2 linked regions of the Notamacropus eugenii genome follow. The protein of the gene in region 1 interacts with the protein of each later gene in a pairwise test. Links are inferred from orthologs where the notes say so. Each region holds a gene or a part of one and is shown in the gene's direction. Other genes may lie near its edges.

Evidence for each region.
Region 2: the proteins of UBE2L6 (region 1) and RNF144B interact in binary tests that used the Homo sapiens proteins (3 or more experiments, as listed by UniProt). The link is inferred for Notamacropus eugenii from reciprocal best matches to the Homo sapiens genes UBE2L6 and RNF144B.

The regions. Positions count from the first base shown.
Region 1 is NC_092873.1:3,196,339-3,200,253, reverse strand, and holds the start of UBE2L6 (ubiquitin/ISG15-conjugating enzyme E2 L6), read left to right. Parts: upstream 1-1,042; 5' UTR 1,043-1,319; coding exon 1,320-1,346; intron 1,347-3,915. UniProt on the Homo sapiens protein: Catalyzes the covalent attachment of ubiquitin or ISG15 to other proteins. Functions in the E6/E6-AP-induced ubiquitination of p53/TP53. Promotes ubiquitination and subsequent proteasomal degradation of FLT3.
Region 2 is NC_092875.1:190,956,768-190,960,682, forward strand, and holds the start of RNF144B (E3 ubiquitin-protein ligase RNF144B), read left to right. Parts: upstream 1-1,013; 5' UTR 1,014-1,032; intron 1,033-3,915.

The DNA.
Region 1 (3,915 bases):
ATTTGTTCTTCATACCAGCCCTGAATATATTATTCCCATTTATATGGGTTGAGAAAACAAGCTGAAAAAAGCTGAGATTTTCCAAATGTTCCACAGTAAATGTGAGAGTCAGGATTAGTTTCAAGTTTTCTTCACTCCAGGTGAAGTGGCAGAGGTTACAACCAGCAATAAAAAAGCAAGCTCAAGATAGGCAAGGAGGGTTGAGGTCAACTCCTCTGCCTGAGGACCCTTACTAGCTAAATTCGAACCCTATATCCAGCCTAATGGCATGATGTGGGCCTGGCATAATGGTAGATACACACTTAAAAAACAAAAAGAAACATTGATGATTTTTGATCTGATATAACTTTGGGGAGTTCCTGTGATGTCAGCAGTGTCAGAAATCCCTCTATGAATGAAAATGGCATCTTTTCTGCCGCTCATCATCTCACAAAGTCCCCTCGGGCACGGAGAGATGAAGTGACATTGTAGGGTCACTCAGCCAGAAGATGTCAGAGGAGAGACTTGGACCCAAGTCTTTCCAACTCAGAAACCAGCTCCTTACTCCCTCCATCATTTCTGCCTCTCTCCTTGTATTCCCTTCCTGTTATATCTATCCCTCTCCTTTTTTTTAAAAGTGGAGTTAAGTGACCTGCCCATGATCCCACAGCTAGTAAGTGTCTGAGGCAAGCTGAACTCAAAGTCCTCCGAACTATAGACTGCAGCATCCATCTAGCTGCTCCCCACCCCCACCCCCTTTCCTCCTAATTGAGACATTCCTTGTAACAAAAGATTGAAAAATCAAAGGAAAGGTTTGCCAAAATCAATGAACTTATCTACAATCTGACAGTATCGCAATATTCCATGCCCTTAGACCCCCCGCTTCTCCTAAGGTAAGTGAGGCCCTTGTTAGTCTCAGCTTGGCCGCTGTCTCCAGATTTACGAGCTAGAAGCTCCCCTAAAACTGCTCAGCCCTGCGGGGTCTGGAGAAGGAATGCACCTGTACCCAGGACTCGAGGAGGCGGTGCCATGGGGAGAAGGGGCGGGGCGGGGGCGGGGCATCCAGAAAAACCTCAAAGGGAGGAGAAACCTCAAAGATAAGCCCAGCCAATTCCTTCATTTTACACATAGGGAAGCAGAAGCCCAGAACCAAGATCACCCAGAGAATTCGCCGGAGTCAGAATTTGAACACAGATCTCGACGTCGGTTCCAGGGAAGGTCCGCGAGACCCAAACTACTCGTAAGGCGATCCCGCCGCCACTCACCAGCCCTCGCCCACCCTCCTTGCCTCTCGGTCAGCCAGGAGTCCCCCTGACTCCCCGCACTCCGCATCCCCAGACATGACAGCAAGCAAGCGCGCTGCGAAGGTAAAAGCTCTGGGCTGCGGTGAGCTAGGAGGGGTGAACAGGGTTGCCTGGTCCTGTCGCGCTCACAGAGCCCTCTCCCTCTGACCCAAGGCATCCTCTGCCTACCCTCTCACACCCCATCCTCCCAGGCTCCTGGTCCTCATCTAACCCCACCCTCAGGATTCCCCTTGCCCCCCCCATCCAACCACTGTTGCCTCCCTCTATCCTCCTCCTGGTCTACCTCATCTGTCCGCTGACCCGGACAGACAGAACACTCCCTGGGCGACCTCTGTCCCTTTCCTCCTGAGTCCATCCTTCATCCGGGAAGTGGCATGTGAGGGGGGCAGGGGAGAGGCCACGGGAACTGGTTTTGAGAGGCAGACGTAGAGGGTTTCCTCTGGTCCCCCCGAGGTGCCTCGGGCTTGGACTCCCTATCAGCCTGCTTTGAATCTCTTTCAGTTTCGTTTCCTGGCTACGAATGACCACAGTCCCCAAATGGAAATAATCAGCCAGCGAGTGTTTGTGAAGGGTTTCCTATGTGCCAGGTATCTCACTAAGTGCTGGAGAGACGAAGGAAAGCAAAGGGGGTTGTTGCCTTCAAGTTCCTCACATTCCAATTATATAGAATATCCTTGTTGTTTGTCCTTGGTTTTCGAAAAGGACCGTGACGTTAGGGAAGGGATGCCAAGACGTGCCAGTGAGTTGGATGGAAGTGAGGAAGAGCTGTGAAAAGTCCCCAGGCTCGCTTTCTCGTAGATGGGGGTCAGGGTGTGGTGATGAAGAGCTCTGAATTCCGAACTTGCTCTCTGTGAAGTTGGGGCAAAAGACGTCCTTCCCCTCTCCCGGCTTCAGTTTACTGCATAGATGGGGAGAGCTAGTCTAGATCTTCTCCAGGATTCTTCTAAAGCCTATGACGCTGTGAGTTAAAGTGAGCTGGCTGGGAGGGGGTCGAACTTTGGGAGAGTCACCCTTGGCAGATCCTTAGCGCCCTGGTCTGGTGTGGCACTGTCCACCTTGGGACCAGGACTGCTGGGATGTGGTAGGCAGCGTGGCATCATTGGAACAGTACTGAATTTACCTGTGAGATGATGGTGTTCTCATCTCAGCTTCGATGTTTACTACAAAGGAGGTAGTATATAAGGGTAGCTCTTTGCAAATCTTAAAGGACCGCAGAATTGTTGTTGCGGTTAAGCAGGGCGATAGAGAGCTGACCTCTCAGTCAGGAACACTTGGATTTCCGTCCTCCCTCAGTCACACATTGGATAACACCGAGCAAGTTTCTCAGCCTTTCAGTACATGAGTTCTCAGTGTCTGTGGTCCCTGGACCTTGGACTCTGAGGGTCCCCAAGACCCTTTCAGGGGAACTGAAAGCTCAGAACTTTTTTTCATAAGAATGCTAAGATGTTCTTTGAGTCAGTCTTCCTTTTTTAGCTATGTAGCTGTCCATGCATCTCAAGAGGGATTTTTTCATATATTTAAGCTGAAATACCAGATACAACAGATTGAATGCAGAAGCAGATGTGAGAATACAGCTGTCTTCAATTAAGCCAGTCATTAAAGAAATTTGCAAAAGTATGTAAGACAATACTATTCCTCATTAACATTTTTTGTTTGGAAAATTAGTTATTTTTCATAAAACATGCTATTAACATACTATAGGATTGCTGTTATTTTCATTGAATAAATATTTTTAAATGATTAGTTCTAATTTGTAATATAGTTATTAATAGCTAGAGCCCACATAAATATTTCTTCTTCTTCTTTCTTCTTCTTCTTTCTTCTTCTTCTTTCTTCTTCTTTCTTCTTTCTCTTCCTCCTTCTCCTCCTATAGGAATGAGGTGCCCAGGATCCAGGGTGAAGGTGATCTGAGTTCTCCACTTTCACTTTCTACTCTTCTAAACTGACATTTCCCTGACAATGAAAGACCTCAGGAAAGAACCGAAGAATTTTGGTTTTGAATTTGTTTATTGCAAAGGAACTCTCAAACTTATGGCAAAATAAGGACAAATTTTCCTCCTGTCAGGGACTACCAGGAGGGCTCTCAGTGTTCATGCTTTAAGCCAACGTAGAGCCACAGAATGTCTGAACTAGAAGGGATTTGCAGATGGTCTAGCCACGTTCTATTTTTTCATTTGAGGAAATGAAGAACTTTCTTGATGTCACACAGTGAATTAATGGAAGAGCTAGGACTGTGGATTCATTGGATTTAGAGCTAGAAGACAAGGCAACTGAAGCAAATACAGTTAAGTGACTTGCCCAGACTCACACAGAGAGTAAGGATCTGAGGCTAGATTTGAACTTAGGAAGATGAGTCTTTCTGCCTCCAGGCTCAGCATTCTGTCCACTTCACCCCCTACCTGCCCGCACTTGGCACATAGTGGGCACTTAAATGTTTGTACATTCAAGACAGTTTGGGTGCTGCTTTCTACATGAAGCCCGTCCTGATCTCAGCTGTTAAAGCCCTCTCTCCTTCAATTACCTTGTATTTATTCTCTATATACTTGCTGTATATGTGTACAAGTTGTCTCAACCAATGGGATGGTTGCTTCTTAAGGGCCAGGAGAATGTTGGGTTTTTCCTCTATATCCCA
Region 2 (3,915 bases), on another chromosome or scaffold:
TAAAACTCTCTCCCTTACACTTCCCCATCTCTTTCTCTCCAAACTGCAAAACACTAAAAAGAGAGGTAGTATTTTTGCGCTAAATTAATTATTTTTGCACACGGACAGGTGGCAGCATGGCACCTTACAGGGAAAGAGACCTTATGTGGCTTAATAAATACTTTCTGAAGCTAGCCCAAGATCAGATAACTTTAAGGTAAGAGCAGGAGCAATATCTTACTCATCTCTGTAGTCTCAGTGACTTGTATTGTGGTTTAAATTCATTTAAATTTAAATTCATTTGAATGAATGAATACGTGGGTCCATTTAAACTCATTTTTGATTAAACTTTGTTTAAACGTCATTTCTGAAGATTTTTAGAAAAATGCACTGATACCTTCTCCCCCTACCCCACCACCATCATAAATACTAAATACCAAATCAAATTTTCCTCCTTCAGCCCCCAATATGTATATGTTCCAGAAAGATAGGAAGAGGGTATTATGGTAATTGGGTTTTAAAGCGCTACCCCCATCCCCCCAGTCCCCCATTGCAGCCTAGACTAGCTGACTAATTAGGATAACCGTCCAATATCCAACTTGCCCAGGCCCAGAAGAGTTAACAAAGGTATGCATACCCTGCATACCTTCCTAAATCGTGTCTGAGGCTATCTGTGTGTGTGCTGGAGGCTAGGGGGTGGGGTGGGGACAGAAGGAAAAAGAAGGGATACCGCCTTTAGAGAGAAACAGTAGAGGGAGAGCTGCTACCGCGTTTGCCATTCCCACTGGGAGGAGAGTGGAGACTGGGAGGGAACTGGTGGGAGAGCAAGCACAGACAGCAGAGGCAGGACTGAGAAGGGAGGGAGATAGTGAAAAGGAGAGGAGGAAGGGGCAGGGGCCTGTAGGAATAGCCAGGGTGGAGGGGGAGGGGGGACCGCAAGAAGGGTTTTCCTCTTTAATCTCCGGAATGGTGGCTGCTTGAACTTGATCGTGCGGATCTGGGCTGGGGCAGGCGCTCTTTGCCCGGGATCCCACTCTGTCTCCAGGAAAGAAGGTAAGGAGTGAGTTACCTACCCTCTCTTATTGCCCACGTCTTCCTGGGACCCCATAGTCACGGAGCGGACTTCACCCCCCACCCCGCCCCCGTCTAAACCTCCCTCTTTCTGGCTCTCTCCAGCCCCGCCACGGGGGAAGCGTCGAGCCAGTCGCCCGCACGCCCGCGCTCCGCGGCTGAGCCTGGCACCGCGTCGGGTAGCCCACTCGCGGGGCAGCCAGGCGTGTGCGTGCGTGCAGGCTCCCTCGCCGCCACCGCCTGCGCTGGGACGAGCAGAAGCTCCCCTTCTGTCGGGATCCGCGCCTCTGCTTTGCCAACCGCTGGAGCTCCATCCACCGCGCCTTCTCTCCGAGCCCCCAACGCGCCCCCGCCTCTCCTCCGCCCCGGGGAGCAGGTCCCGGGCGATTGAACCCCAAGGGACTGCAGCAGAAGAACGAACACATAAGCAAATCCTTCCAGTGTGGCAGAAACTAATTGAATATGCAATAAATTTCCAACTGTAATGTCTGTCTTCTCCCCCCCTTTCAATATTCCCCCACCCCCACCCCCGTCAAAACTTGTGTGTGCAATCACTGTCGTATTTGAGCCTGGACACCGCACGCCTCTGAGTCTGAGGCTGCAGAATTGTGGGGTGCTTCACTTTTCCTCCGTGGCGTGGCGGGATTCACCCCCAACCCCTCCTCGCCTTCGGTCCCCACGGGACCTCCTCACTTTCCACCTCTGTAAAATAAATGGGGGTGATCCAAATGGAGAGCGTACGCAAAGCGTACGCTGTAAAGCGCCACGCAAGGAAAAGGTGCTTTTGTTTTTGTTTTTTAATCGCGAAATACCGTGACAGCGTATTGCGTATACCTGTGGAGTAAGAACGATCTCACTGGCGCTGGAGGGCTCAGGAGAATTCAGAGGGTGGGGTAAGAATTTAGCGAGGAGTAAACCTGGGCCTGCGGGGGGTATAGATGCCCAGATAACAGGAGGGAGAAGGGTGTGGAGGGGCAAGGTCACTTTTCAGGTTAGGGAAGACGGTCCAGATTAGAAGATAGTAGGGAAATCCCCCAGGCTGCTGTACCTAACGAGGATTTTTTGCGTGTTTGTTGTTATAAGTAAGTAAAAACATGCAGCTAAATCCGACCTTTTAAAAGTCGCTGGGAAGAAGGAGGGGAGCATTCATTTGCATTCCATGAACTTCTGATGCTGAGGCTGGGGTTCATTCAGCTCTGTCAGGGACTTGCCGGTGACCTGCGGCAAGCACACGCACTTTAAAATGTTCAGATCAATTTAAGCGTGCAAGATACTTTCCTAGATCTTGGAGTTACAAAGACACAAATGAAAACTCCCCTGTTACATTCTGTTGAATTGGGGGCGGGGTAAGAAGAGGAATTCATCGTGTATCCAGCTACTGTAAAGGTAATAATGCGAGGACAGAGAGAACGCTAACAAGCTGGGGGTGGGAGGTGGGTGTTGGAGCTAGCAGTCTAACAAGAACTAATTATGCCTGATAGGGGAAGAATGATCATATTCATTAATTAAGGATGCTGCTTATACTGCTGTTACTGTGTAATGACCATCACTGGATACAAGAAGGCACTGTGTCAGTTAAGTCCAGCTGCTATCCTCCTCTGTCAGGTTCTCAGGACAGCAAGTTGCCTATCACTCCTTAGGCCCACCTTCTGCATGAGTGATGCCGAGTTCTGTCCTTTAGAAAGGGGGTGTTTGTGTCTCCACCAATCAAATCCTTTGTCGTGCCCATCGCTCCCCCTTAGCCACACCTTTTCCTTTACGCTCCTTAAATGTGCTTGGTAAAATCACCTCTATCAATGTCATTACTATAGAAAAAAGCACTTAAAATGGTAAAACAAACATGCGTTGGATATAAAAACAATAGCCACAGGTGTCACAAACTCCAGCTTTTTCATCCCATTCTCTCCTGAACTCCCCAGGAGAAAAAATAAAGGCTGTTCCAGTTGGTGTTCATGTCCCCACTTTCTGTGCCAAGGTCTGGGTCACAGGACCTAGGAAGAGTGAGTATCTGATCACAGATGTCCTGGCTCTCAGCACAAGGAGAGAAGTATCAGTCACTCACACTCTGAAGACTTCATATCCCTGGGGCCTAGCACAGCAACTAAATTTCTACTAGTACTGTGTATTTGTATTTCTTCAAATTAAAGTTTATAGATATATTTTTATACACTAATACTTGAGTGTGATCTTTGAGAATTGACATAGCACTATAGACAAATGCTAAACACAGGCTAATACTAATAATCAAAGTATTCATTTTCTAACTCTTCTCTGTTGCTAACTCTTACTGACATAGATTGTTGGGGATAACACTTTTGCCTAATACATAGAGTTGGGGTGATGCTGAAATAAAATGAAATGATACCTTATAAACAATAAAATGCTGCACAAGTACATTATTATTGTTATGAAATCATAGGAATTTAGAGTTTAAGAGATCCTTAGAACTCATCTAATCTACTCCCCTCTTCTGGATTTGAAGATGAAGAAATTGAAACATGGATAGTTTAAGTAGAATCATAGATTTTAGACCTGTGGAGACCTTTGAGGCAATGAAGTACAATCCTCTCATTTTACAGATGAGCAAACTGAGGTACAGAAATATCAGGTGACTTGCCCAGGATCACAAATCTAATAAGAGTCTGAGAAAGGGATTTAATTCAGATCTTCCAGAATAGAGTCATCTAGGTGGTATAGTGGATAGAATTCTCAACCTGGAGTTAGGAAGACCTGAGTTCAAATTCCGATTCATGTACTTACTATTGTGACCCTGGACAAAGCAGTTAATCTCTCAGCCACAATTTCACTTGTGAATGGGGGTTAATAATGGAATAACAGCATCTACTTCCCAGGTAGATTAAATGA